7 linked regions of the Mus musculus genome follow. The protein of the gene in region 6 interacts with the protein of the main gene of each other region in a pairwise test. Links are inferred from orthologs where the notes say so. Each region holds a gene or a part of one and is shown on either strand. Other genes may lie near its edges. The genes, in order: Ptdss1, Sfxn3, Ndufb6, P4ha2, Fis1, Creb3 and Synpr.

Evidence for each region.
Region 1: the proteins of Creb3 (region 6) and Ptdss1 interact in a two-hybrid assay, tested with the Homo sapiens proteins (2 studies listed by BioGRID and IntAct). The two-hybrid records come from large-scale screens. The link is inferred for Mus musculus from reciprocal best matches to the Homo sapiens genes CREB3 and PTDSS1.
Region 2: the proteins of Creb3 (region 6) and Sfxn3 interact in a two-hybrid assay, tested with the Homo sapiens proteins (2 studies listed by BioGRID and IntAct). The two-hybrid records come from large-scale screens. The link is inferred for Mus musculus from reciprocal best matches to the Homo sapiens genes CREB3 and SFXN3.
Region 3: the proteins of Creb3 (region 6) and Ndufb6 interact in a two-hybrid assay, tested with the Homo sapiens proteins (2 studies listed by BioGRID and IntAct). The two-hybrid records come from large-scale screens. The link is inferred for Mus musculus from reciprocal best matches to the Homo sapiens genes CREB3 and NDUFB6.
Region 4: the proteins of Creb3 (region 6) and P4ha2 interact in a two-hybrid assay, tested with the Homo sapiens proteins (2 studies listed by BioGRID and IntAct). The two-hybrid records come from large-scale screens. The link is inferred for Mus musculus from reciprocal best matches to the Homo sapiens genes CREB3 and P4HA2.
Region 5: the proteins of Creb3 (region 6) and Fis1 interact in a two-hybrid assay, tested with the Homo sapiens proteins (2 studies listed by BioGRID and IntAct). The two-hybrid records come from large-scale screens. The link is inferred for Mus musculus from reciprocal best matches to the Homo sapiens genes CREB3 and FIS1.
Region 7: the proteins of Creb3 (region 6) and Synpr interact in a two-hybrid assay, tested with the Homo sapiens proteins (2 studies listed by BioGRID and IntAct). The link is inferred for Mus musculus from reciprocal best matches to the Homo sapiens genes CREB3 and SYNPR.

The regions. Positions count from the first base shown.
Region 1 is NC_000079.6:66,995,292-66,998,947, forward strand, and holds the end of Ptdss1 (phosphatidylserine synthase 1), read left to right. Parts: intron 1-55; coding exon 56-125; intron 126-1,526; exon of another isoform or gene 1,527-1,676; coding exon 1,677-1,786; 3' UTR 1,787-3,110; downstream 3,111-3,656. UniProt on the Homo sapiens protein: Catalyzes a base-exchange reaction in which the polar head group of phosphatidylethanolamine (PE) or phosphatidylcholine (PC) is replaced by L-serine. Catalyzes mainly the conversion of phosphatidylcholine.
Region 2 is NC_000085.6:45,053,699-45,057,008, forward strand, and holds the end of Sfxn3 (sideroflexin-3), read left to right. Parts: coding exon 1-21; intron 22-603; coding exon 604-651; intron 652-906; coding exon 907-1,003; 3' UTR 1,004-2,685; downstream 2,686-3,310. UniProt on the Homo sapiens protein: Mitochondrial serine transporter that mediates transport of serine into mitochondria, an important step of the one-carbon metabolism pathway.
Region 3 is NC_000070.6:40,276,622-40,280,761, forward strand, and holds the start of Ndufb6 (NADH dehydrogenase [ubiquinone] 1 beta subcomplex subunit 6), read right to left. Parts: upstream 2,801-4,140; 5' UTR 2,717-2,800; coding exon 2,537-2,716; intron 1,125-2,536; coding exon 1,032-1,124; intron 1-1,031.
Region 4 is NC_000077.6:54,099,554-54,103,763, reverse strand, and holds the start of P4ha2 (prolyl 4-hydroxylase subunit alpha-2 isoform 1 precursor), read right to left. Parts: upstream 2,841-4,210; 5' UTR 2,724-2,840; intron 2,245-2,723; 5' UTR 2,117-2,244; intron 1-2,116. UniProt on the Homo sapiens protein: Catalyzes the post-translational formation of 4-hydroxyproline in -Xaa-Pro-Gly- sequences in collagens and other proteins.
Region 5 is NC_000071.6:136,960,759-136,964,974, reverse strand, and holds the start of Fis1 (mitochondrial fission 1 protein), read right to left. Parts: upstream 2,899-4,216; 5' UTR 2,792-2,898; coding exon 2,747-2,791; intron 1,977-2,746; coding exon 1,844-1,976; intron 1-1,843. UniProt on the Homo sapiens protein: Involved in the fragmentation of the mitochondrial network and its perinuclear clustering. Plays a minor role in the recruitment and association of the fission mediator dynamin-related protein 1 (DNM1L) to the mitochondrial surface and mitochondrial fission.
Region 6 is NC_000070.6:43,561,226-43,565,530, reverse strand, and holds the start of Creb3 (cyclic AMP-responsive element-binding protein 3), read right to left. Parts: upstream 2,874-4,305; 5' UTR 2,719-2,873; coding exon 2,572-2,718; intron 2,482-2,571; coding exon 2,325-2,481; intron 2,251-2,324; coding exon 2,180-2,250; intron 2,063-2,179; coding exon 1,973-2,062; intron 271-1,972; coding exon 164-270; intron 65-163; coding exon 1-64. UniProt on the Homo sapiens protein: Endoplasmic reticulum (ER)-bound sequence-specific transcription factor that directly binds DNA and activates transcription. Plays a role in the unfolded protein response (UPR), promoting cell survival versus ER stress-induced apoptotic cell death.
Region 7 is NC_000080.6:13,452,416-13,456,786, forward strand, and holds the start of Synpr (synaptoporin isoform 2 precursor), read left to right. Parts: upstream 1-1,542; 5' UTR 1,543-1,913; coding exon 1,914-1,937; intron 1,938-4,371. UniProt on the Homo sapiens protein: Intrinsic membrane protein of small synaptic vesicles. Probable vesicular channel protein.

The sequences.
Region 1 (3,656 bases), on a different chromosome or scaffold from region 6:
GCTATTCCTCGAAAAATTGACCTAAATTACCCACTAAACCTTTGTCTTTCTCTAGACCTATTCAGAGTGTGAAGATGGCACTTACAGTCCAGAGATCTCCTGGCATCATGGGAAAGGCTCCAAAGGTAACAGCTGTCTTGTTCATTGTGTAAAACTTTATTGAGTCCTCTCCATCCTCAGGCCTACTGTGGAGATTTGGGGTCAGTATTCGTCTTCTGAGCATTGGTGAATATATTGAAGTGTCTCAAACTGCTCATCAAATCTCACCTGTCACTTCACACAGTGTTCACAGAATAGAGGCAAAAGTATGCTCTGTGAGATAAGACGATGCTGGCCTCTGCTTTCCTCGGGCAGAGAAGTAATGAGGTCTTCTTGACTCTAGGCTTTCAGAGTGAGTGAAATTCTTAGAGAGAGCTGTGTGCCCAAAGGGAAAGATTTTCAAAAGAATCTGATGAATTTTATTCCAGATGCAGAACAGTGTGAGCAGGCCCCCAACTGGCCTCTCTCTGGGAAGCACTTTGTAATAGTCTAGGGCCACTGGGTTTTTGAAATTTATAAATATATGTACCATTGACAGTGAAGAGACCAGTAAACTTAAGGTCTTGTGAAAATCATGACTTGGGGAATCAAACTGGGTCTGAGAGACTGAACTCACTGTGGTCAGTGGTTAAGGAAGGCCTGTCAGTTCCTTTACAACCTGTGCTTCGAGATAACCCTGGGGAGCTGGTGTTGTGAATTCTGCTTGCTTTCCAAGCACCCTGCAGTCTGCTGACCTGTGTGGCCAAAGGGGTTCACTAGACTGACCTTCTCTGGGCCCATCCAGTTACATAATCAGCCCTGGGCATTCCTCGTTCTCCAATAGAAAGAATTTATGTGTGCAAGTGATGCAGCATATGAAGTGTGTGTGCGTGTGAGAGAGAGAGAGAGAGAGAGAGAGAGAGAGAGAGAGAGAGAGAGAGAGAGAGAGAGAGGAGAAACTTTTCAGAACCTTTGGGACTGTGACAAATACTTCGAATGAAGACAAAATGCTTCTGGGCCTTTGGGGAGTGGCGTTAAGTGGCTGTCTTTGGTAAATATTTCACCCAGAACTGAACCAGAACACTGAAGAAGAGAGGGTTTAGGCTTAGCCACTCCCTTAGGGGCTGGCCACATCCTCATATCAGAGGAAACAGTAGCCCTAGTGTTACAATGTCACCTCAGGGCTGTCACTCAGAGCATCAGGTACCTTGCCTGTAAAGATCTTGATGTCTCTGCTAATAGTTTTAAAGTTATAAAGTCAAGAATCTTTTCCAACTGAGACCTTACAAAGCCTGTCTAACCGTTCAGTGTATACAGACTTGGGGAATCTATACTGTAGCTGTAAGCATAAGATGGATACCTACCAGTGTGGCTGAACTTTTATTAATGTTTATGCTTTCATTTGAACTCACTTCTGGTCCTCATGACTGTGTCCCAGACTAAAAATTACTTAGAACTCCAGTTTTATGGGACAGTTACCTGGTACACACAAGGCATAGACAAGACTGTCAGATTCCCCTGGCCTTAATTTATTAATGGGGCCACTAGAGGGACATCAAGTAAGAATTGGATTTTAGCTGAGAAGCATGGCAGATCCCAGGAGTCAGCCACAAAGCCCAGAGGCCCCTGGTGATAATGTGTTGGCTTTCTTTGGGCAGGTTCTGAAGACAGCCCACCGAAGCATTCAAGCAACCACGAAAGCCATTCTTCCAGAAGAAGGAACCGGCATTCTAAGTCCAAAGTCACTAATGGAGTTGGAAAGAAATGAAGGAAGCTAGTTAATGTCAGATGTTCCAGAGTGCCTAGACCCGAGAGGAAAACAGCATATTTGGACCTTCCTATGCAGAGATCATAATGTACGGAAAGAACCGAGGGAGCTTAGGGGATCGTGACTTGAGAGTGTAAGTCTTGTCTCCCATAGACCTGGACACACACTAGGCTGACCATGGCTCGGGGTCCTTTGCCAACTGGAAGAGTCTCTAAACTTCAGCGTATGGCCTGCATTCTCTGGTAGCAATACAGTGTGCTGGAAGGACAGGATAGCTGTTTATTCCCAGCTGCCAGCAGTGGCTCTCTGCTGGTGTGTCTTGTGGATGTTGTATAAATGTCTTCATTCAGATGTTGACTTAACTAACTGGCTAATGAACTGGTCGCTTGGTTTTATTTTTATGAGTCTGCCTGTCCATTTGATTGATTGTTTAAGTTCAGAGAGTCTGCTTTTACTTCATGTTTTTGAGTTAAATAGCTTCAAAGCTTCCAGAATCCACTGCTGAAATTGGGGGAGGGTTCCTTCTAGAGAAACAAAGGGTGGAAGGAGCTTTGGTGTCCCAGCTAAGCATACTCAGTCCCCAGCCACATGGCAGATGACCCCAGCCGGAGTGAAGAGGCTGGCTGCTGGCACTGGAGCCTCGGCTTCAGATTAGAACTGTTTTGTTCCCTTCCAGACACTGTCCAGACTGAGTGCACAAGAACGACCTTGCGAGCGGATCTGGGACAGTGGGGCTCCCTGCCAGGGTCCTTTTCCATGTGCTTGGTTTTTCCTCTGTGATGTTTTGCCTACTCTGTCTTTCTGGCTCATGTGAGGTGCTAGTGGGTATTAATTAACTTTCATCTGTGCCATGTTCTACTAAAACATTCTCCCTGTCTACCCTGGATCCTTGTTTTAAATATATCAGTTCACATTAAACAGCTCATCAATGATCTGTCTTTGTTAGAATGATGTTTCTTTGTATCTTATTAGTCTTTTAACTACTTGGAGGCAAGTTCATATTTTGCAGTTGACCTTAGGATAATATGTATGTATGTGTGTTCTATATGGTAAAGAAAGAAAAAAGAAAAAATATATTTTAAAGGGGCTTACACATATATGTCCTATCTGAACCTTCCAGAGTGATCCACAGGGAATGGAAGTGTATGCAGGGGCATTGTCTGTCACTATGGTCTTACTTACTAGGTTGGATTTTCTTTCTCAGACAAGTGGGCTGTAAAACAAACTTGCTACAAACAATCCTGCTGCTCACTCACCAAAGCACGATGATTTCTGTTTCTTTGCCTCCTTAAAGGGAGTCTTTGAACTATAAAAGTTATGTTTTATTTTGCTTTCTCTCTCTCTTTCTGTCCCTCCCTCCCTCCCTCCCTCCCTCCCTCCCTCCCTCCCTCCCTCCCTTCCTTCCTTTCTTTTTTGAAAAAGAATTCCCAGATGAGAGATTTAAATCAATCATGAAGAAAAACTCGACTCACCGTTATTGCTCTGGGTGAACACTTGAGTTAAGAGCCACCCACAGACTTGCTTTCTCAGCCAGCCACACATGTCCACTGGTCCACCCCAAGAGGCTATGGCAGGCCACAGCTCTAAACTTTGCCATAGTGTTCCATGAGCCTGTTTAAAGGGGAACAAAGAGGTACCTATCATTCCTCATCCCTCATTTTGCAGTTCTGGAATTGAACTTGGGGCCTCTTGTGTACTAGACACGGGCTCTGCTACTGAGATTTGGCTCTCTCCTCACATTCCATCAAACAAAACAGGCTTTTTTGGGGGGGTTTTCAAGACAGGGTTTCTCTGTATAGCCCTGGCTGTCCTGGAACTCACTTTGTAGACCAGGCTTGCCTTGAACTCAGAAATCCACCTGCCTCTGCCT
Region 2 (3,310 bases), on a different chromosome or scaffold from region 6:
GGTGGGACTGGTAGGCTTCTGGTAAGTTTGCAAAGGGTTCAGTAGGGGCACATGGGAAAGCCATTATCATTTTGGGTGTGGGTGGGCGCGCACTATCTTTGAGATGCTTACATAACATTGTTCATATATCCAGTTCCAATGGATACCCATAGTGCAAAATCTGTGTGCGCGCATGTGTTGGAAGGGTGGGGGGACCTCTAGGGGTTCTTGCCTTTGAAAGTCAAGAGTTTAGTTGAGGGGTTCAGCCTTCACTCACCAGAGGACCCCATACAAGTAGACTCTAGGGTACAATCCAGGAGTTGCATCCCATTTTACCCCTGATCCTGTTGCTCTCTGATCCTGGGGCTTTGGGTTGATGCTCAAGAGGCTCTTTCCCCAGACAGGATCTAATATCAGGACTGAGTTTAACATCCCTGAATGGTCCTTTGACTCCATTTTCCAACCTTTATGGCTGGGATAGAGCTCAAAAACAAACAAACAAACAAACAAACAAACAAACAAACAAATAAGGCTTCACTCCTGGGGCTATTCCTGTGAGGTGGGGTACAGGGAGGGGACACAAAAGTCAGTGTCACAGACATTTCCTGTGCTCTTCTTCTCTAGCTTGGTATTTGCCACACCCCTGTGCTGCGCTCTGTTCCCTCAGAGAAGGTGAGTGACACCGCTGGACCTGACCAGAATCTCTGCCCGGGACTCTGCATCTCAGGCCCGCAGTGTGTTCCCGGGAGGTCTGACAGGAGCATCTGGGAGCCCGGGGTGGGGGGTGGGGTGGGGGTGGGGTAACAGTGAGCCAGCCCTTCTGAAAGCAGGGAAGATTCTTCACCGGGGAGTGGAGGGAAGCCAGCTCCTGGGTCTGAGACACTGAGCCCGGAGTATATTTACCTAGCCTGTGTTGTTCTATTGCAGCTCCATACATGTGACCAGGCTGGAGCCGGAGCTGAGAGCTCAGATCCAAGCACAAAACCCCAGCATCGATGTGGTTTACTACAACAAGGGGCTTTGAGGGGAGTCGGCCTCTGTCCCTGTCCTTACCTCCTTAGGCTGCTTCTCTGATGCCACCTTGCAATGCTACCACCTGTTTATCTTCTGGGTACTGGGCAAGGGGGCTTGATGTGGGGAGCAGCCACTGAGACCAGCAACCTTAGACTGGGGGAGGCACTCCTATAAGCCTCTCCGCTCCTCTCTGGTTTCAAAGAGCAAGTCACAAAACCCATCCCTCCTGTGTTTGTGTGTGTGCACTGCCACATATGCAGCACATGTGTTTATACATTTCATCCTGGAAGCTAAGAGCAGAAATGCTGTTCTAGGATGTCCTGCTATTTGTCTTCTCTTCTCAGTCTCCTGCCCACCTAACAGCAAGCCTGGTTATGGGTGAGACTTCCTTCCCTAAACTGTTCCTCTAGCTAAGTCATTTCTGATAGCATCTTAGCCTTCTGTGCCCAAGATAAGCCCCAGGATCCCAGAACAGGGACTGAAGAACATCGTAGGCCACCCAGAGCTTAACCCTTCAGGTTTCAAATACAGCTATTTGAACCAGCTCTAAAAGCTGGTTCAGGACGTGGGCTGGTAGAGGAAGCAGTGTGGAATCAGGGAGGCAGGGGGCTCATGCTTGCTGGACCCCACACCCTAGAATGGCTCCACTCCTCTCTTCTGGTGGACCATGGGGGTGTCAGTAGCCTGCACTGCTCTCCACACTGCATTGTGGGTGCTTTTAGAGACCATCTTGAGCATTCTTCGTCTGTTCTGATGAGTCATGTCATGATTCAGAAATCCCACACTTCCAATTCCTCCCCCAATCAGAAAGCCACACAACACAGGCAGAGCAAGCATTCCCTTCAGGAACTGCCACCACCCGTACCCACTTGTAGGGGCTGGTGTGGGACCGGTGCTTAAACACAGGCCTCAAGCGTACAGTATCAAGACAGGTAATTCTGTGTTTCATTGACTCTTCTTAGACACACCCCCCCCCCCTCAGCTCCTTCCTTTCCATCTACCCCGTCTCTGGAAGAACCCAAGGCTTCATATATGCTAAGCAACTGCTCTACCACTGAGCGACATCCCCAGTGCCCTCTTTCTCTTTTCCTTTCTTTCTCTCTTTCTTTCTTTCTTTCTTTCTTTCTTTCTTTCTTTCTTTCTTTCTTTCTTTCCTTTCTTTCTTTCTCTCTCTCTCTCTCTCTCTCTCTCTCTCTCTCTCTCTCTCTCCCTTCCTTCCTTCCTTTCTGTCTGAATGTGTCTGTCTGTCTTTCTGTCTGTCTGTCTTTCTTTCTTTTTTTGTTTGTTTTTGTTTTTCAGTTATGGTTTCTCTGGGTAGCCCTGGCTGTCCTGAAACTCAGAGATCTGCTTGCCTATGGCAGTGAGTGCTGGGATTAAAAGGCATGTGCCACCATTGCCAGCAGCCCGTCTCTTTCTTAAGACATGGCACTGCACTCCCTCTGCCCTTAATTTCAAAAGGAAGAGGGACCCAGGCTCTAATAGCTGGACCAAATAGAAGATGAGTTCGGGAATGGTGTGGGTGATACTGACTCCAGGGCATAGAATTATATCTCCACGCCAAATCCATGACCTCTAGCTAAAAGGTGAATGGGGTCCCCAGTGACATCCACGGAGACCACTTAAACTAACCTCCTCTTCCAGTGACAACAGCTGTCACGTCATGGTGTCAATAAACTGCAATCCTGTCTGGTTCTTGATCTTCAGTTATTCCACATCCCACTTGTCTAAGGAAGTGTCCAGGAGATTCTCCTGCCTTCAGCTCCTCCCCAAACCCTCCCCTACTGTCTGTAGGGAGTCTCATCTCCCAGTAGAGGGCTCTCTGAGCTTACAAAATGGGTCCTCTGGCTAGCAACTATACCCTTGGCTTCATTTCTATCTTCACTAAGAGGACTGCTCACATATATATTAATTGAAGCTCATGGCCTTTTGGTTTCCTTGACGACTCTGGCATAGGGTGGTGACCTCGGTCTCTAGGAAATCTTTACAGAGGGAAGAGGAGGCCAGCAAGCGCCTGCTCATTAGAGCGAAGCTGGTAGGGAATTGGGACATCCTCTGTCTTTACCAGGTCACTGTGGCAACTGGCCCGACAGGATCCCTCCATCACCCCCAGGGTTCTTCATTGTGTGTGTGTGTGTGTGTGTGTGTGTGTGTGTGAGAGAGAGAGAGAGAGAGAGAGAGAGAGAGAGAGAGAGAGAGGAGATTGAGGAGAAGAGAGACAACATTTAGGAATCAGTTCTTTCTTTCTGTTGAGTCGGCCTCCTTACTTTTATGATATTTTCCTGCCCCGGAGAAGATGAGGTAGGACATGAGTGCTTGT
Region 3 (4,140 bases), about 3.3 Mb from region 6:
CATGCATTCAAACACACGCCCACATTCACATTCGTGGTTATTTCTCCATCTACCTATGAATACACAGTAATAACTATGAGTTCATACAAACACTTCCAATTCTAACTCCATTCTCCAAGGTGTTCCCCTGTTCATGTAAATAACTCCATTCGATCAGTGCACTTATTCGATCAAGCTCCTCCCATCTAACAAATGTCCTGTCACCATCACCACACCTTGTGATGTTGAACCTCCTCACCTTATTTGGGTTCTGATGTCTTACTCCACCTCAGGTTCCTTACTTGACTCCCTTCTCGAATTCCAGTATCCTATCCCAGGTTGCTGGCACTAAGGCTCCCCAAATGGACGTGCTCAGCCTACTCTAGCAACTCTCACTGGACACAGAACACCCCATTTACACTATCTGAGTTCCAACACTCCACACTACTGTTCCCCTTCCATGATGTCGCAGAAACCACATGCCCTTCTCCTACTGCCTAGGATCCAATAGAGCGGAACAACCACACTGTGCTGTCCCTTGTCTTTAAACCACGGCAAGGGGCTTTAGTCAACCCATGCAAGATCTTCCCATGAAAAAGTTTGTGGTTTTTGGATACCCTAGATTGTAAAGGAAGAGAATTACGAAAAATCAGATAAGGACAAGGAAAGGGAACTGAGACATGGCAGACTTGTTGGAACGTTACCACATAACGGACTGGTCTAAAGAAGCAGCAGAAGTCATCTTTATACCTGCTCAGGACTCCAGGGTTAGATAGACATGCTGACCATTTAAACACTACTTCAAGGAAATGCATTGCAAAAGGTATAAGCTAGTGTAAGAGTAATTTTTTGATTTCTAAGTTTTGAAACTACTTGTATATAAGAGTACTCAGAATTCAACTAAACCTTTACCCACCCACCCCCAAAAATTCAAAGAACTTTAAAATCAGCTTAGCATGGCATATTATTTTCTGAGTATAGCACAGCCACAGGAAATTATTGGATAATATTAAAAATAAGTTCTGGACAGCATACATTTAAAGTATACTTACAGCCATATGATATTTGACATAATAGTGAACAAACCACATAGGTATAAGCACATGAGAAACAGCGAAGAGACTGGAGCGGTACGCCTTAAAGACCTGCGGGGGAAACACATACAAAATAAGCAAACATCCGCTCTTTACAGTTTTATTTTTTAGATTTATTTACTTTATGCATGTAAGTGTTCTGTCTGCATATATGTATGTGTACCAGGAGTATGCCTGGCGCCCTCAGAGCTCAGACAGAAGAAAGCATCAGATGCCCTGGAACTAGAGTTACAGACAGTTTTGAGCCACCATGTGCATGCTGGGAACCAAAACTGGGTCCTCTGAAAGAGCCAAGTGGTCTGAAGCAGTCACCTCTCCAGCCTCACCCCACCCCTCACTTGAGACAGGGTCCCAAGCGTTAGCCAAGGCTGGCCCGCCTCCCTCTGCAGAGATCCTCGGCTATCCTCCTGCCTCAGCCTCTGGAGCTGCTGTGATTACCAACATGCGCTGCTTACTCTCCCTAGCATGAGCTACCTTATTTTTCAATGTGTGTGGAACAAAAACCAAACCAACTAACCAAACAAAAACATTCCACCACTACCAACTATGTGTGATAATTATTTTACAAATTTCTAAATGGAACATATTTCCTGACAGATTGGGGCTGACCTACCAATTTCAGTATTTTCACTAACTCTGAGGCTTCCTATAGAATATCCATAGATTCTAAGACAGAATAAGCACCATTCTGCAAGACATAAGGCATTGTTGTTCAAGAAACCAACCAACCAACCAAGACTTTGTACAACTACTACTTCTACTTCTACCACAATTACTGGAAGGAGCTGAAAGCAATTCCCACACAATGTTCGCTACTCATCATTGATGTGATTTAATAGCAGTCTCCAAGAAAATATCTGGAATCCTTACAATAAAAAGCAGTCCTTGAGTGAACGGTTTTTCTGCCTGGAGGTCATGGAATGCAATTTAAAAGTAACTAAAAGTGTGTTAAACGTACACAGTGATGCGTAGAAAGGGAGCTTTAGAGTCTGACAAAGCATACCAAATAGAACCCTGTCTTCTGTTGCGACCCCATGGGGCTGTACTATACCAGCTGGCCAGTCTCTGGCACCTCAACCCTACCCACCGCGTAAGTGTTCTCAAATACTGAAATCACAGCCTGTGATCTCAGTTAATTCTGACCAGTTTAACCCGAGAAAAGGTATCTACACTCGAAAGAACTGCATGTGCGGCGAGCGTCTTGTAAAACCTAAGACCCGACTTCTCAGTACACCTGACAGCCACCTGCTCCTGGACTCCAGACCCCAGCCCTGAACAATAGCGACCTGACAGCGTCTCCGCTAAACCTGAGCCCCTGGACTGATTGTCCCTTGGGGCCCTCCCGGGTATGCGGGCTCTGGACAGGGTTGGGCCTTGATGGAACTGAGAGGAGTGGGCTGGGAGGCTTGGCCAGGCTGCGACCCGGGGTGGGAACCCGGACACCCGTGTGGCTCATCACTCACCATGTTCTTCCACACGGCCCCGTCCCGCAAAAAGTTATCCCAGAATCGCTCCAGGGGCCACATCCTGCGCGGGGGCAACACGGGCTCCCGGGGACTCAGCTCCTGGTCCTTCAGCCATCGTCTCCTTAGCTCCCGCAGCTGCTGCAGCCGCAGCTTCTCATCCGGCGTGTACCCTGACATGTTGCCGACGAGCCTACACAGGACCGGTCACTGACCTGCCCCTCCCGCTCCGCAAAGCGACCTTGAGGCGCCTGGAAGCGGCGCGGAGTGATGACGCCACACCAGCCCCGCCTCTGGGGGCGGGCCGACTCCTTCGCGGAAAGCAGGCTCTGCTCATGCGCAAAGCCCTCTCTTGGACCCTGGGTTTTAACAACCTGGGTTAAGTATGAGCTCAGGAAGGTCCCTGAGTTAAGAACTAAGTGGGCGGTGTTGGAAAGTGTGAGAAGTCCTGGGGCTAGGGTTCAGAGAAAGAACTTGTAGGGGAGGGGACCGGAAGAACAAGGACGATGGTTTAGCGAACCTCTGCCTCGCCCCCTTGAATTCTCTTCTTGACCGAGAGACACTTGCGTCCGAATTTGGCTCCCACCTCTTTCGTAACCCGCTAAGTAATCTTGAGCGCCTATCTCGGTTTTCTTCCCTCTCTGTACTGCAGAAATAAAGAGCACCTTATTTGGGAGGCTTCCATAGGCTCGCTCACTCTTTGATTCTGCCGGCCCACTTTGTAAGACATCCCAAAGGTATGGCAGTAAAAATTTGTAGGGGTGTGCACGAATATTCGTCACAACACGATATGTAATAGCAAAACATTGAAAAATCACCTCCCAGATTTCAGAATAGAGGATTAGTGGGAAAGCTTATAGTACTGTAAAGCATTGGTATGCTACTGCCATAAATGAGCCTTCTATTCATAACTGGAGTAACTTCTACAATCTATTGATAAGTTAAAAAAATAAATAAGTAAATAAAACCAACTACACCAAGTATGCTACCTTTTATCCAAAAGCAGGGAGAGTAGTAGTGATACTAAATATATATACATGCTCTGAAAATTTTAGAGTAATAAATGAAAATAATTTTGTTATTTGTATTTGGTTTTGGAGACAAGATCTCATGTTGGCTTTGAAATTGCTATTTAGGGAGACTGGACTTAAACTCCGAATTCCCCTGCCTCCACTACTCATGAGCTAGATGAAGTACACCAGTATGCCCAACCTAACTACTGCTTCAAACACCACCACCAATATTATATAGGGAAGATAGGATAGACACAAAAGTAGGAACTAGGGAGTTTGGAGGTGGCTTAGCGGTTAAGAACACTTACTGCTCCGTCAGAAGACTGAATTAGGAGAATCTAGCTACATGGTGGGGCTTCTGGAACCTGAGTGTTCTCCAGCAGAGAAGAATATGATTTATAAGGCTCTCTCTAGCGAACCAGAACTGGGGAAGTTTCTAAGACCAGTAAGCAACTTGATTAGCAGGTTTCTCTGGTCAAAGATGAAAACATTTCAGCATCAGTAAGTATGAATTGAATGATTTTTAAAATATAAAACACGTCACACATAACCAAGTCAAAATACTTTATTAAAAAATCTCGTTTTTGATTT
Region 4 (4,210 bases), on a different chromosome or scaffold from region 6:
CACCACTCCCTGGCTCCCAGGAATGCCAGGTACAGAGCAAGCAATCTCTAGCAAGCACTTACCAAGAAGTCTGGAGCAGAGGCTGACCTGTACCAGGCTCAAACAGATCCTATCAGGGTCAGGAAAATCACTATCCAAACACGAAAGTCTCTGCCCTGCAGTGGCACCAGCGGAACAAAACCCCGCTTCTCAAAAAAGCCTAGTCTGACCTTCTCATCCTGCTCTGCTCTCGCTGAGAAGGAAAACTGTCTGTCTATCCTTCACTCCACATCCCCAGCACAAACCCCACAGACCACAGGACTCAGTAATTCCCTTTGCTCTGGGATACGCTGGTGTCCCACCCTCAGGTACTTCAAAGGTCTAAATGACTAGATTTGAATGATGGTTTTCAAAGTTGAAGCCTCTTTCCAGGACTCTGCTGGTCTTTCCCGTGCCTGCATTGCAGCATTTGCTGTCAACCTCCATCTGCATAAAATTAAGCTCTTGACAGATCCCAGAAGCCAGGGACACACCCCCCAGGCCTCTGCACACTATCGGCCAACGTGGCCCTAAGTCAGCCAAGGCCTTCGGTCCAGCCTCAAACCCTCCCAAGGATGTGGGAGAATGCAGTCAAAAATGGAAGCTTTCTCAGCAGACAAGGAAGCCCTCAATTCCCTCACTCCACGCAGTCCCCAGAGCTGCAGGGCCTCAGTCTCCCTCTGATGAGCACCCACACTAGGGCTCCTCCCTAGGCTCTAGGCAGCTGCCAGGGCTAAACAGCGATCTCAGAGAGATTATGAGCTGCCTGTGGGCAAAAAGAGCTCCTCCCCCACCGCCTGTCTTCTCCCTCATTCAAGCCCCAGGCCCAGTCTAGTCAGATATGAAGCACATGCAATTCAAGGAACAACCCACAGTCCATTGTACGCAGTCCAATCTATAGATAAGTAAGTCTCTCTGCAGAGCCTGTGACAATGTGGAGGGACTCCCAAAGGTCACACACAATGCTTCAGTTGAGTTGTCACCATATCTGCCTGCTGAGCTCTGACGGTAATAAGGAGGATCAATATGACAGAATCTTCAGGCTAGGGCCTCCAGCCAACTCACTCCATCAAGCAATGTGGCTTCACTGGCTGGGCCACACAGTGGACAAGCTCGTGTGAGGACAAGAAGGCCCAAGAAGAAAAGAATCCCAAGGTCAAACATTCTGTACATGGAGAGGAGCCGAGAGGCTGGCCTTGAGGCACACACAGAACCATATCGAGAGACTACACCCTGGACACTTCAGAGGCAGTGGAGATACACGCCAGAGGAAAGCCTGGTCAATTTAACAGGGCACTCAACCATGGGCTGACTTGGATGTGATATAAATTCAGAACAAGCAACAACTTGCAAAATCACCCTATAAATTTTGAGCTAGACAATAGACCTCTGCAAAGCTGAGAACGTTTGAGGATGTCAGAAGCTACAAAGTGGTGCACTGGGACCCTGCTCTTAGTTCCAGGAAGCTCTTCCATCAGGAGGGATAAGGTGTCAGTAACGAGATGGCCTGCATTAAGAAGCAAAATCCTTAAAGTGTCATTCTTCAGGGTAAGGATCCACTGTGTGGCCCAGTCAGGGAAGCCACGTCGCAAGGATGGAGTGAGTTGGCTGGAGGCCTTTCCCCAATGATTCTCTTGTACTGAGACTCCTTAGCGCGTTGAGAGCACAGCAGAGTTGCTGTAGGGGGCAATTCAATGATCTCCTTCAGCATAGTAAATGACACATTAGAATACAGATGACAGGAAGACCCACCTGTACTTCCCAGTAAAATCCTGCGACAGAAGTACCCAGACCCATGCTCACCTTGCAAGGGCTCAGTGGACTTTCCTCATGCAGATCTCTCACTGCTTGTGGGTGGGGCCCTTGGACAGCTATTCCCTAAAGCGGCCCTTTTCCGTTACCTTGATTCCACTACTGTACCACAGACGTGATACTGGCCCAAGCTTGCGGCCACTCAGGGTGATTCCTCAGTCCAGGTTCCTAAGTGACCAATCCAGTTTACCGGAGCCTCCCACCCCAGCCCATGTCTCCTGCCCGGAAGCATCCAGACATCTACCAAGTCCACACAGCCCAAACTCCACACTAACTCAGTACTTACCTTGCTGATGCTCTGGACCTGAACTTTCTGAGTCTTCCCTTCTGCCTGCCTCAGTCCTTGAAAGTCTCCAGGCACAGAGAATGCTCTATTTGTTGAATCAGTCAGCCAATCGCCACCGGTCTCTGAAACTGCTCAGGGAAAACATCAGAGGTTCGACAAGGATGTCTTCTGACAGATAGGAGGAGAGTTTCTGATTTAAGAGCCCATAAAACTGGCAGCGACCAAGCTGGTCCTTGCCAGGGTTGGGAGCCAGGGGTCTTCCTCATCCTAAGCAGCGCCGCCTTCGGGGCCAGGCGGGCGCCTCCGCCTTAGATCGGGGGGCGACCCCGGGGTCAGGTCGCCCCTTCCCGGGAGCCCGCCAAGTGTCCTGTCCGGCCCGGCCTAACAGTACCGGCAGGAAGGGCACCGCTGACCTCACCGCCCTAACCCTGGGAAGGGACGCGGGCGGGACAGGAACCCAGGCGGGTGCAGAATCAGGGCGCCGGACGCGGGGCACGGGGCTGAGGGACCCCGGATCCAGCTCCCGGCTCCGCGCAGAGCAGAACGCACCGCCCGGCCACCGGGACCCGAGCCCAGCCCGGCGACGACCCTGCGGACCCGCGCTCACCTGAACACGCGCAGAAGCCGGCGTTTCCAGAACCTCCCGCGGCGTCGCCCCGGCGCTCTCGGCTCCGCCCTCGTCACAGTCTCCGCCCGCTTGAGCCTCCGCCACGTCCCCACCTCCCGCCCCCCGGGCCCGCCCGGGCCTGGCTCCGAGCCACTGGAGCCTTCGGGAAGGCCCGAGCCGCCACGCGCTGCACGTATGCGATGCACACCTCCTTGCGCCGCGTGGGACCGGCACCAGGGGCGGCGCCCCCATCCCAGCCTGCTCCAGCCCTCTGTGGTCCCACCACCCCCACATCCATTACCACCGGCAAATTGCAGGAGGCTGGCGTCACTAAGATCGGGAATTGAGTATCCTGGGAGGGGAGTGGAGGGAGGGAAAAGACAAGGGTCTGAGATGTCAGCGCACCTCATCTCTCCAGATGACCCATCTCCAAAGCCTAACTGCTTCTCTGAGGGGCTCAGGCTAGCCAGGCTTCGGCTCTTCTGTAAATGTGAGAAGTTGGCGTAGCCTGGAGCATCTCATCCTAGGGCCAACCTATGGCTTATAACACAGGCCAATGAGATTGGACACCTCAACCAGCTCTGTCTGAGACACACACAGTCAAGAAGACAGGGAAGCAACCGACCTCGATCTGAACTGAAGGATGCTCTGGCAGCTGAGCAGGTTCCCACGCCTGCCCTGTAAGCTTGCTTCTCCATGAATGAGGGGAAGCAGTCTGAGAATCTCATCAGGGAGCAGAGCCCAGAACGGAGATGCCCGGCCTGTGGGACTGTGCCTGGAGTTTGGTGTGGATTTCCCTATAATGGCATGGACCAGGCAGACGGCCCAGACTAGGAAAGACAGACACACAGAAACAACTCAGAAAATACTACCTGGCCACTTGTCCGTGTCTGTGGCAGCTACCAGCCAAGAGCCCAGTTGAAACCATGCACAAACCTTTCTGCATCTGCTATGCCACAGAAAGTACAGTTTGCCCAGATCCTCAGATCCTCCCCATGCCCGCCCACTTCTCTGTCCGGAGTGGTCCTCCTCCTCCTCCTCCTCCTCCTCCTCCTCCTCCTCCTCCTCCTCCTCCTCCTCCTCCCCCTCTCCACAGGATCTTTCCCATTGGCCTATAAATACCTTCAATCCATGGCTATGGAAACATAACCCTCACCCCACTCTACCACCCACTGTGCATCTCTCCTTGGCCAACCAAGCAAGCAAAGTCCATCTTCTTGGCCTATCTCTCAGACCTTCTAGCTCCACAACAGCCCCCAACAGTTACTGTATTATGTTTATTGCTTTACCGTTGTTAAATCACCCTTACATGGTGTATGCTCTTTTTTATTTTTTTTTAAATTATCTTTAATCTTTTTTTTTTTTACAGTCCAGTTGTTATCCCCCATCCATTCTCACCGCCAACAGTTCCTCATCCCATTTCTTGTCCCCTGTCTCCAAGAGGATGTCCCCACACCCCCACACAACCCCACACTCCACCAGGCCTC
Region 5 (4,216 bases), on a different chromosome or scaffold from region 6:
CCAGTTTCTATCACCTGCAGCTTCCCAGTTACAGCCCCGAGACAGCCGTAAGCCTGTCAAACACCTGTGGTGGAGACCAGGAGCCAGCCCCGCAGTCTGTATGGATGGGTGCATTCCCACTGGCAGCCATGGGTCCTACTGCAAGGTCACCTCCCGCCTGACACTCATCTTGCTGAGAATGCCCGAACTTGTGCTCCTCCTGCCACCTCCTGAATGGTCTGGGATACGGCTGGCTTATTATGCAGTGCTGGGAATGGAATTGAAGCAGGGCTTCATACACAGCAAACATGCACTCCGTAGACTGAGCTTTTGTTTTGTTTTTGAAACAGGGTTTCTCTGTGTAGCCCTGGCTGTCCTACAACCCACTCTATAGACCAGGCTGGCCTCAAACTCAGAGATCCTCCTACTTCTGCTACTCCTCCTACTACTGGGATTAAAGGTGTGAATCACCACTCTAGGCCCACAACCTGCCCCCCTTTCCTATAACTCATCTTCCCTGAGTGACCCTTGTCTGACTTGTTTTTCATTTCATTCTGTGTGTGTGTATCCCCGTAGGACGGTATTAAGATAGGCACTCACTATGCCGCCCGGGCTTGTTTCAAACTCCCCATCAGGCTGCCCCAGCCTCTCTAGCGCTGGAGTTCCGTGGTGCGGCAGCCACCACTTCGGCACTAAATAGCTGTGCAGTGCTACAGTCTCCTCAGGGTCTGCACTGTGTCTCCAAACAGGACTCAAATGCTGACACCACTCCCACTGCTGTGCTCTACTGTAAAAGAAACCTAAAAGTCCAAACTGATCAAAGTAGGGGGACAGTATTTGCTTTTAGAGACCCCAGAGCTGGCGGCACCCCTGAACTCGCAGCACTGAGGTAGCTGAAGCAGGACGCACAGGTTAGAGGTCCTGTGTCAAAGTCAACTGACTAATGATACAGCAGTCTTCTGTTCCCAGCGTCGTCCCTTGACAGCCTCTGGGACTATGCCAACACAGCCCCCAGACTTCAAAGTGCACAGACGGCAGGCCCGTCTATAAAATTAAACGGTGTTTGCATAGAATGCACCTATAGTCCCCAAAGATGCAGTGTTCTTTGAGTCAGGGAGCTCATGTAGCCCAGGCTGACCTCAAATTTGGTCAGGATGTGCTGACTCTGGCCTTGAACTTCTGACCTTCCTGCCTCTATCTCCACAGTCAATGTTCGACTACTGAACTATGTTCCTGTGTCTTCACCTTTGTAGTGCTGGGGTCACACAGCCTTGATACCACTAGCCCCTCAGATATTCTAAATCTCTAGAATTTTCCAAATGACTGTTATCCAATACAACGTAAACACTATATTAACGGCAATTAGTAACTATACCAGAAGTGTTTTGTGTACACTGTGTGTGTGCACATGGAAGCATGGAGGTCAGAGGACGGCCAGTGCTTTCACACTCCACAGCATCCCCTAAAGAAAGGGTCTCCAACTGAACCTGGGCTAAGATGGCAACAAGCCATCTCTAGCTGATTCCAGCTTACTCTCTATACAGACTCGGATGGCCACACTCAGCTGCTGCTGTGGGTGCTGGGGATTTGAACCCAGGTCTTCATGCCTGGACAGGATGCACTGAGTCTCCCCAGCCTGAGAGCATTTTTTCCTACAGCATTTTCCATCTGAATGACTGTTCAGATGCTGGGGACGTAGAGAATCAATCTAGCCCTTTCTCCAAGTGAAGTTACTGGTGGTTACTGAATGACAAATGTGCTGTAAGGTGAGGGTTCTGTGTTGGAAAGGGTCCTGGAGGGGTGAGGTCAAGCACAGTAGAGGTCAGGCTGGCTGGCGGCTGGAAAGTGGGGCCCAGCGCCTTACCCTCCAGCAGCACGATGCCTCTGCGGATGTCCTCATTGTATTTGCTTCGAACCAGGCACCAGGCATATTCAAATTGCGTGCTCTTGGACACAGAACCAGCTGCCTGCTCAGACTGAAATTTCCTTTCAAAATTCTGTCATTAGAGAGAAGAGTGACCATTTAGCAACAAAGAGCAGCAATCATTCTCCAGCTAACTTGATGTCTGAATCCCAGTTAGATCATATTTTCCTCCCTGCCGCCTTTCCCTTGTAGATCTTGGTACCCCGAAGCTTCTGTCATCTCCACCCCTGGGTCCCATGCTGTGTCCTCCCCTTCGGAAGGTCCGTGAACCCAGCCCCTAGTGGTACCAAGAGGAGATGCCACCTGGTGGCAGCTGGAGGCACTGCTCCCAAACCAGCTGACCCCAAGTGTCTGAAGAGTAAACATACTGTCCCAGAGCTAAACGACCTCCTACATGGCCTTTCCCTTGAGGCCGCTGGTCCCGTCCCACCCTACTCTTTTGGGCCTGGATCTGCCTTACTTTAATTCTAGGAGAGGAAAGAAAACACAGCTACAAGGATGCGGTGAAAATAGCACCGTGAGGAACTAAACACTAGCGAAAATTTACACCAGTGACTATACTACTCCATCCCTGCACACGAGTACCCCAAATTCCCAGCTCTGCATCACACTAAGACCCCAGGCCTAGGTCTGAGTTGCTGAAACCCGGGAAGCTACAATTCCCGTCAGGCCTAGGGACACGAAGCCGATTCCCACAAGAAGCAGGATGCCGCAGAGGCTGCTGGGAGCCGTAGTTCAGCTTGCCAAGAAAGACGAAACCGGCACTGGTTAGCCTCAGTCAGCTCTCCTCAGGAACTGCCCTTTCCAATTCTGCCCTTCTCCTTCCTCCGTCCCAGACCTTACCTTCAGATCCTCCACAGACACCAGCTCGTTCAGCACGGCCTCCATGGCCGCCGCCCCTGAAAGCCTCACACTAAGGTCTCTACTGGGCCACAGTCTCCATGGTCCAGTAGCAGGGGCGGAGAGGCACTTCCGGCATCGACCTGTGGAGGCCCCGCCCCTTCCTCCTTTGCCTTGGGGCGGGCGGGGGCACTAGTGCCTACGCTGGGATACTTTGCTCTCTTTGGACTCCCCTGATGTCCTAGATCCTCCCTGCATCACATTATCCTAGGAACCAGTGTAAGAACCCCTCACTCTAGGACCCTGGATTATCTTCAATGTTTGCAATAAAATCCTAATGAGTACCAGGGGCCGGAGGGTCTCAGTGTAGTCTCTCACAAAGAGATGCTCAGTCTCTCATAAAGCAAGAGGAATTGGTAGCTATACCCTCTCCATGCTCCACGCACTCCCCCACCTCCCCCCTCCGAAAACTTGGGTCACATGACCATAGTGGACAGCCATTCTTAATAGGATTCTGAAGAAAACCCAGGAAACACAGTCCAGGGTTAAAGGCCCATGGATGGCTCTCATGTTCTGTTGCCAGACCCCACATAGCTCACAACTGCCTGGGTTCCAGCTATAAGGGGAAAACTTGGGTCACATGATCCGCCTGCCTCTGCCTCCTGATTGCTGGGATTAAAGGCACACACCACCACCCAGCTCAGCCTGCTCTCTTATAGAACCCAGGACCATTAGCCCAGGGATGGTACCACCCACAATGGACTGGGTCCTCCCCCAGTTATGTAAATGCCTTGGAGCCAGATCTCATGGAGGCATTTTTCTCAATTGAGGGGCCCTCCTTTGAGAGAGCTCTAGTTTGGGTGTCAAGCTGACAGAGGACTAGCCAGCACACTCGCTGTCCCTTGCCCTATGATTCTGAAACCTCCAGTAATCACAGGCACTCTGCATGTGCCTGCCGTCTTTGCTATTCAGAACATCTATCTTCTAGCCCTGCCGTTGCTTATTGGTTGATTCATTCATTTTTGATTGAGCATTTCCTAAGTGTCGGTCACTATTTAAGTACAGGGATTGGCACTGAGAAAAAGAAAACTCCTATCCTTATGCATCTAATGTGGGGAGGGGGAATGGTCATGCAGGCTTTCATCCTAGCGCTTGGGAGGTGGAGGCAGGAAGAGGAGGAAGTTTAAGATCATCCTTGGCTTAGCAAGTTGGAGTCCAGCCTGGGGTAGGAACTCTTCTTGGGAGCCAGACAATCCAAGGCTTTCTCAGAGGCCTGGGTGAAAGGGCAAAAGGAATGTCAGCTCTGTGTCACTGTCCACAGGCAGACTTGGCAAGGTCTGAGGCTGGGGCCTGGGCCTCACAGGAGTGAGGGTTGCAGTTTGTCGGGATCCTACTCTCTTCCTGGCCTATGGCTATTCGTCCTTAGATAGACGTGTATGTCTGAGGTATCCTGTGTTCTCGTTGCCAACGTTG
Region 6 (4,305 bases):
CTGTTCCTCCAAACGCTGCACCTTGTTCTGCAGCTCCCGATTCTGAGCTGTGTATTTCAAGACCCTAGAGGACAACATGGATGTGAGGACACGTGGATTTCAAAATATTGTGTCTCCTCCCTTCAAGACCCTCCAGGCTTCCCCCGTGTCCATCCTTGCTTACCTGCTCTCCAGCCCCACGACATACACCTTCTTCTTCTTGCGGCTTTCTTGAGCTGCTCTCTTGTTACGAATCTTCCTCCGCACTCGTTTCAGAACTTGTTCCTCCACCTAAGAGAAGATGGGGGAAAGGTCACCCACAGTATGTTATTATATGCCTGTATGTTATACCTATATATACTACATAGGTATGTTGGAAGACAGCTAACCTTCTTCCCAATCAAATACTCTCCACAGCCTCTCTGTCAGTAGGCATTTACCTTCTGTGTGAACACCAAGGAGCAGATATTCAACACTAGAAAGCCAGACTTTTTATTATTTTTTATGTGTTTGGGTGTTTTGCCTGCATGTCTGTATAACGTATATGTATAATGGGTGTGCCTAGTGCCCACATAGGCTAGAAGAGGGTGTCAGATCTCCTCGGATTGTAAGCTGCCATGTGGGAGCTGGGACTTGAACTCATGCCCCATGGAAAAGCAGAAAGTACTCTAAACCACGGAATCATCTTTCCAGTCTCTAATTAATTTTAAAAATTCCACTTAAGCTAGGTGTGGTTGTACATGCCTGTAGTATCAGCACTTGGGAGGCAGAAGAAGGAAGTCAGGATTTCAAGACCATCCTTGGCTAGGGTAGTTTTTGAGGACAGACTGAGCTACATAAGACCATGTCTCAAAACTAACAACAACAACATCTACCCTTATCCTAAAGCAACATCAATCTTCTTATAATTTCCATTCATTTGATTTTCCTAGAGTCTCTAAAGTGATATAGAATATATCCTTATCTTAAGGTACTTTCAACTTTTTTTCTTTCAGAAACTAAAACTGAATAAAGTTAACTCTTACATTCTCTGATAATGCCTGTCAAACTTGGACACTAGCCAAGAGTGACATCATACACTTGTAATCTAGTCCGAGGGAGTTAGAAGCAGGAGAATCAGGAATTCAAAGGCATTCTTTCCCTACTACATAGTTTGAGGCCAGCCCAGCCTGGGTTTACAAGACCCTGCCTTAACAACAAGGGCCAGAGGGCGTGGCTCAGCAGTGAGCATTGATGAACATTCATGAGGTACTGTACTCCAATCCCAGTGGGTAGGGGAATTATGGCATGCTCTGGCCAGTGTAAAGGAAGACAAGACAGTTACTATCCTAGGGACAGAACCACTATTGATAATTTCCAAGTTCCGTTTCCTTTCCTCCCAATATATTGCTCATTCATCTTGTAATAGTGATAGAGGGATAGGGGATGGTTTCTCACATAGCCCAAGCTTGCCTGAACTCAACATGAAGCTAAGTCTGTCCGTTAATGCTGATCCACCTGCCCCAAATAAGTAAATATCTACATATCAGAAGTAAGACAATATTAAAAAGGCAAATGACATTAAAAAAATTTGCCACAAAAACTAGATGCAGTATTCTTGTAATCCCAGCACGTGGGAAGTGACTTTGAACTTGTGAAGACCTTCCTGCTCCTGCCTCCAGAGTGCTAGGGTTATAGAGGGGTGCACCATCATGTCCAGCTTTGACGATTGTTGATGTTGTTAGACTGAGTCAGCCTCTCAAGCATTTCTACCACTGAGTATGATTCGAGGTCCCAAGATAACAACGGAAGCTATCAAGGCCCTTCACTTTCAAGGCTCTGTACTAAAGTTACATTTAAAACATTATCTTTTGACGTGGGTGTGTGTTTGGAGATGAGAGAACTTGTAGGAGTTGGTTTGTCCTTTTGCAAGTGATTGATATGAAACAAACTGAGCTTGCCTACTTGGGTTACCAACCCCCTCCAGCCTTTGCTCTACCAACAGGAGCCTTACCTTAGTGAGAGGAAGGGTTGAGGGCAGAGTGAGCCCCTCCTTCTCCAAGAGCTTCTTCTCTTCCTCGGTCAGTATCAGCCTAGACATCTCCTAAGGATGGAGGAAATAGTGAAGAGAGCAGAGTTGCATGGAGCTCTCAGAGCAGTATGGGGGATCTTGGCTGCTGCAAAGTGAGGTAATCCTGAAAAAAAAAATCAAGTCCAGCACCTGTTCCGCTGCTCTTTCCTCCCCTGGCAGTGGAGTCACGTGGAACCCCTCCTTTTCGAAGCTCTCAGTATCTGCAAAAGGGAAAGTAGAACCAGCTAGCCCAGTGAGCTCTCTCCTCCCCCACAACTTATCATTTCACACTCACCTAGATCTATGGAGACGTGCTCCTGTGGAAGGGAGTAGTTGTGATCATGGAGAATGGAAGAGCTGGAAGAGCCGAGAACATCCCGCGATACTGAGGGACTGAGCAGAGAGCTCAGTAAATCCTCTACCTCCCAGTCGCTCAGTTCTTGCACGGAGTTCTATCAAATTCAAAGGCCTTGATTTATTTCCGTACCTTGGGTCTCGCGGACATCCCTAGCTTCCCCCACTGGGAACACCCACCCACCCACCTCGGAAGGTGACAGCTCTAAGTCCAGCGGAGCCTTCACGTCCGGCTCAGTCGCAGCCCACAAATCTCCGCTTTCCTCTAGCAGGAAGCCCAGCAGGTCCTGATCACCGGGATCCAAAGCTAGCAGATCCTGACCACCAGGATCCATTTGGGATATCTATGGATAGAAATCCCTCCGCGCAGATCCAACCTCCGAACCTCAGGCACGACCCCTCAGTCTGTCCAGTCGGCTCGACTTAACCTCCGTCACTCCGGGACAAGGGCCTAGCTGTCACTCTAAACCGCACCCGTCTCTCAGCTTCTGTATTCCTCAGCTTCCAACACAACGGAAGTGGTGCACATAGCCCCGTGGAATCCTGGGACTTGGAGTTCTCTCCAACTCGGAAGTGGCTCCTGGGCTGCGCCACGTCCCGGGGGCTATGCAAATTATGGGGACGTCCTTTCAAGCTTCCCACGCCCCAGGGCGGGGATTCTGAGGATCCTTGTCCGCCTTCGCCTCGAGCTATTAAAAAAAAAAACTTAAGCGTTTAAAAGGGAACTCCAGCTTAGTTCGGGCGTTCTCTCCAGAGCTCTGCACGCTCGCTTCCTGCTGGGGAGGGGCGGCCAGGCTTCGCGGGCGCCCGAGCATCGAGAACTACGGCCAGAGCAGCTTCCTGCAGTCTCCGCTACCATAGAGCGCGGGCCCAGGGCGCCGCCGGCGGGTGGGGGACGTTTCCAGGACGGAAGTGGCCGAGAGTGTGTCGAAGGGAGGGCGAGGCCGGAGCCCCAAAAGCGACCGGGAGAAGGAGCGGGTAGCGGGCCCAGGGCGGGGCGCAGAGCCGGGCAGCGCAGGTAGGCCGGACGGGCTGGGCCGAGCTTCTAGGTGGGGCTGCGGGATCGGGCCAGCCCGGGAAGCGGCGGGCGGGGCCCCCAATCCTCCTGCATATCCTGTGTCTGGTTAGGGAGGTCAGGGTCCAGTATGTTTCGGTTTGGATTTGGAATTAAGCTGGCCTTGTTGCGAGAAGCAGGCCCTTTCGCGGGGGTAGACAGTTCTCTGTCTCGGCTAGGTTTGGGGACGGGTAGAAATGGGGTGGCAGTGAGGCACTGGGTGGCAGTGAGGCACTGGGCGGGGATGGGCTTTGGTATTAGCCGATAGTGAGTAAGTGGTTAGGAAAACTTGGGGTGAGTTTGGGTTAGGTGCCGTCGCGTTTAGGAAGCAAGGATCCCTTTAGAAGTTAAGAAGGTGAACTACATTCTAAACATTTGCTGCACGAGTCAAGTCTGTTTCGCATATGTGACATTTAAACTGAGGTCATTATTTTCTGCAATGACCAGCATTAAGTCAGAGTACAGGATCGGGTTAAGGATCAACAGGAATTGGCTTAGATGCCCGTTTTAGGGATTAAAGGCCGGTGTCATGGTCAGTATTAAGAATAAACAGTGAAAAGGTTAATTAAGAACCAAGTTACAAATGAGCTTTAGAACTGCAGGGTGGGGTGGGAGGGAGTATTTAGGGTTAAATTTGGGGGATTTGGGCCTAAAAATAAAAGCCAGATTAGTATGGGTGTCTTCTGGGAAAGGGGTGAATGTCAATGTATAGGGAAATAGGAAATAAAGTCAGCATTAATGTTAGGAATTGGTGATAGCGTTAGGGGTTGAGGCTGCAGCTACAGCTGAGCTGGTAAAATGTAAGAAGTTGGCAGGAAGTAGCTACCTTTGTTTTGTAGTGAGTTCTCTTATTCCTGTGCAGTTACAG
Region 7 (4,371 bases), on a different chromosome or scaffold from region 6:
TCATAAGTACTCATAAGTGCTTAGCGATGGGCAGCCTTTTACTGGCTTCACCACTTAATTTCACTCATTGTGATGTGGTAACTTTTCAATAAGCATATGCTAGTGACCATGATTGTGTGTGTGTGTGTGTGTGTGTGTGTGTGTGTGTGTGTGTGTGTGTGCTCAAGCACTGAGGGATAGGATCCTATGAGAATTTCAAAGGACCATAGAGTTCACAAAATTTGAAGATTTTAAGCATCCTGAAGACTTGCTTATTCATTGGGAACAAGATCTCACCCTGTCACCTGGAGCTGAACTTAGTGTTACACTCTTTCCCCAAGTGCTTGAGGCCCTGGGCTCTATCCTCACAATGGAAAAGACCAAGTGAGGAAGAGACAGCAAGCCAGAGTTCCTGTGCACACACTTGGACTTGAACGCACTGTCTTGTCTTTCATTCCTTCTTTACATCTCCCTACCAAGAACTGTGAAATGTTAGTGTGCCACTTTACAGAGGGAAATCTAAGGCACAGAGAGCTAAAAAGGCTGTCAGTTCTCACAATCTCCCAGTGAGAGGAGAAGCAGCAGGAGATTCCAGGTTGTTTCACTCTTACTCACATTTGGCCGGTGTTCTTTGGTCCCACCCTCCCCTTCTTCACAGGAACAAAAGTAGAGCTAGAAAATAACTGATGATGTTGTTACTATGTTGTGTCCAGATGTCTACATGAGAAGAGGAAAGAGACACAGACAGAAACAGAAAGAGGGGTAAACCTGACCCATGGCAGATTCTGGATTACATACCGTGGATTAAACACGTGGCAGTCTGTTGGCCTTTCTGTTGGGACATTAGTAGCTGAGCAATAGACAAAGCTGGCACACTAGACCTCTTACTGTGCTGAGCAGAGTGCTCACTCAGGGCAGAGGGAGTACAGACTTGCAGGATTCCCTCTGTAATTCAGTACAGATATTCAGGGGACAATATCCTTCAGTGGGTTAGACAATATCCTCAGGGCACCCAAGAGGAATCTCTCTGTGAAGGCTGGCCCACCCTCCCAGAACAATAGCCTCTGGATATCCAGACTGATGCCCCTTGAAGAAATGAGTGCCACTTCTTTCTGAAAAAAGAAAGAAATTTGAGTCTTGTTTAAGCCTCTGCCAGCTTTTTAATTTTGTGATTTTCACAAGTCTTCATTAACACTGTCATGATGAATGAGCACCAAGTTATAATTTGTCCCTTCCATAGTCCCCAGAGCCTGAAAAGCCATCTTCCAGTGCCATCACCTTAATGATTATTTATGGACAGTGCATGACTTTTCCAAATGGGTACCATGCATAACACCCATGCATTTCCATAAAAACAAGGGCAGTTTTTAAAAGCAAACATACATTTGCCTCATCTATGCAAATCTATTCCAGAGGATTTAATGAAACCACTGCTTCCCTGTACCCTAAACATGCAAGTTCCTGGCTTGTGTTCAGCTCACAGTTTGATTTTAAGTGCTGTGGTGAGAGGAGGGGGCTCTCTGAGTAAGAGGGGAGCTGGTGCCTTAGCTCATGATGCAGCGTGCTTGTGCAAAGCAGCCTGCACTTGCAGTTGTGAGCAGAGAGCCAAGTGTGGGAGTGCACAACGGAGGTAACGTCCTCCCCACAAAGCAGCCAGCACACAGCAAGGGAGTATCAGGTTCCTGTAGTCAGCTGTGGGCTGTCACTGTCTACTAATATGACTGTCTTCCCATCTCTCTGCAAGAAGGCAGAAGCTGCTATCTGATTGGTATAGCATCTGACTTTCCCTCTGCATTGATTTCTTGTCCTTTTCCTTTGCTTCATAAAGAGAGGGACAAGAGCTGGTGCTGTGGACAGAGAAGCTTCATTTTTAGTATGAGACAACCTCTTTATTTTTTCAGGAGAGGGAAGTTGGATTATCAATTCTTTTGTAAATGTGTATGGTGATATTTGCTCCGGTAAGTTTATCTCTATTGATTTGCTTTTCTCACTCTCTGTCTCTCTCTGTCTTTCTCTGTCTCTCTGTCTCTCTCTGTCTCTCTGTCCCTCTCTCTTTGTCTGTCTGTGTGTGTGTGCGCGCGCGCTCGTGTGTGTGTGTGTGTGTGTGTGTGTGTGTGTGTGTGTGTATCTCTGTCTTTCTCTATGTCTCTGTCTATCTCTGTCTCTTTCTCTTTGTATATATACATGTATAAGTACATTTGGGGTGTATAATTTTCTTTACCAATGTGATTTTTTAAAAAATAATTGGTGATAATGTCTTTTTCCCCTTTAACTTTGCTTTCTTTTATGCATGTTTAAACCACAGAGTCTGGGTTATATAGTATAATTCTCACGTTAGCTACTAAAGTATATACTGGGTTTCTGGGTTTCTTTTTAACACAGTAAGAAACTAAGCAAAGTTATATTAAGCTTCATAAAAATGTAATGCCATTCCATCTCAGCCTTTTTTTTTTTAGGGCACTTAATGTTCTGAGTATATTCATTGTGCCACAACTTGCCTATAATTTTAATTAAAGTTTCTTCACCAGTATCACTGTGAGAATATCTTCAACTCTTTAAATAGCTTCCAAATACTATGTTAAATTCATAAGGTCTTATACCAAACTACAGTTAAGAAATGAGCTGCCCCTCCAATTCTGAGACATTTATTAAGAGAACTGAATTTCTACACCAAAAAGTATCCATATTGTTAAAGTAAATCTCTTGCACTGTATGAAAAGCTGGGCTTCACATGGCCATTGTTTCTTTTCTGACTGTCTTGGGTGTTTGTGCCACCATCTGCCACATGCCTAGTGCTGAGTCTAGTGTGGCCATGGCTCAAGCTAATCAGGAGGAAAGTTGCTTTTATTAATTCACACTGATGCAGAATGGGTTTTCAGTCACATCTGTTCAGATTCATGATTTCTGAATGCATCACCTGGTTAGCTGAAGGCAGAGGATGGTCTGGATTCCTTATTGTTAATTCAGAAGTCTGGGAGAAAATCTATTAATATGATTACAGTAGATACAGATGGTAAGACGATTAACTACTTGTGCTAATGGAAACAAACACACTTTACTCTTTTCTTTCTTTTTTTCTTTTGTCACACAGCAAATCTACATAGCTTTTTTTTTTTTCACAGTAAATGAACTACAGAATATATTTGTAACAAAAGTTAGGGTACCTATAAATCACAAGTGAAAACCTGGCAATTTTTAGACTTTTAAAGTAAAGTTGGGAATTTCAATTAGAACTCTGAGGCACACATTCTTTTTGAGTGACAGTTTTTTGGGACTGTGACATGGTTTCAGATAAACTCTAAGGAGAGAGTGATGTCTACCCAGGAATGAACTGACCCGCCTGAGTGCTGTCTTCAGGGTGCCCTGCAATGCACCTGTTACTTGCATGCTAACACAGAGCTGCTCATTTTGATGATCAGTCTGAATTTTGATTACTGTAGCTTCAAAAATAAATTCCCCCCAAGTCACCTAACTATTTCTATTGTCTGATCCCAGTGAATGTGTTCCCAGGACAACTTCAGAGGTCATATATACTACAGGAACTAAGTATGCCTTAGCAGGTAGGTTGTTGAAAAAAAAAATCAAGCATGGCTTTCATTCTTGAGCCCAGTGAAAGCATTAGGAGTGGGCAGGCCCTGTCCTCTCTCCAGCACACACAGCTGACTCCCTTCTTCCTCGCTACATCCATTTTTGGATGTTATTCTTTCAGAGCCAGTGGTAACAAGTTGCATGTAAAGTCATGAGCTGTAAATGGAGTTGTCACCATATGAAGCTACTCCACAAGATTAATTAGTAGAGTTTGAAGGAATGGTGAATTACAAGTATCTGCTTTCTTCTTTGTCAGCTTATTATGAAAGACTCAGGGTTCCATACATGAAACCACTGTCACTGGACATCAGTAACTTCAATAAGTTAGTATTGTCAACCATTAGTTTGAATTGGGATAAGTCTGCATGATCTTTAATTGTATCCCTCCTGACAAGTCCTGAATACCATGTCCAGAAAAGTTTGTTGTAATCTATTTTAAGGAACAAAAATCCCAATGCTGTGGACAAAAATAGTGAAGTGGTTTTGAATTTTTCCACAATGAAATCTTCTTTTTGTCTTAGCAAAATGAAAAAGGCCTTGATTGTTTCCAGTTTGTAAATACACACTTTGGCTTATCTCTCCTCGTCTTCATAGCCACTGAGAAGAGGCTAATCTCAGCTCCTAACTTTTAAGATAGGAAAATGAGAACAGAGAATGTGTGCAACTTGATAAGATGACACAATGATGCACATGAGATGGCGTGAGTGGCATGTTCATCCTCCGGTCAGGGCTTCACCTTGTCAGCATAACCTATGGGAAGCTCATAGGCCACGGTGATTTTCAGGCACTTAACCATAACACAGC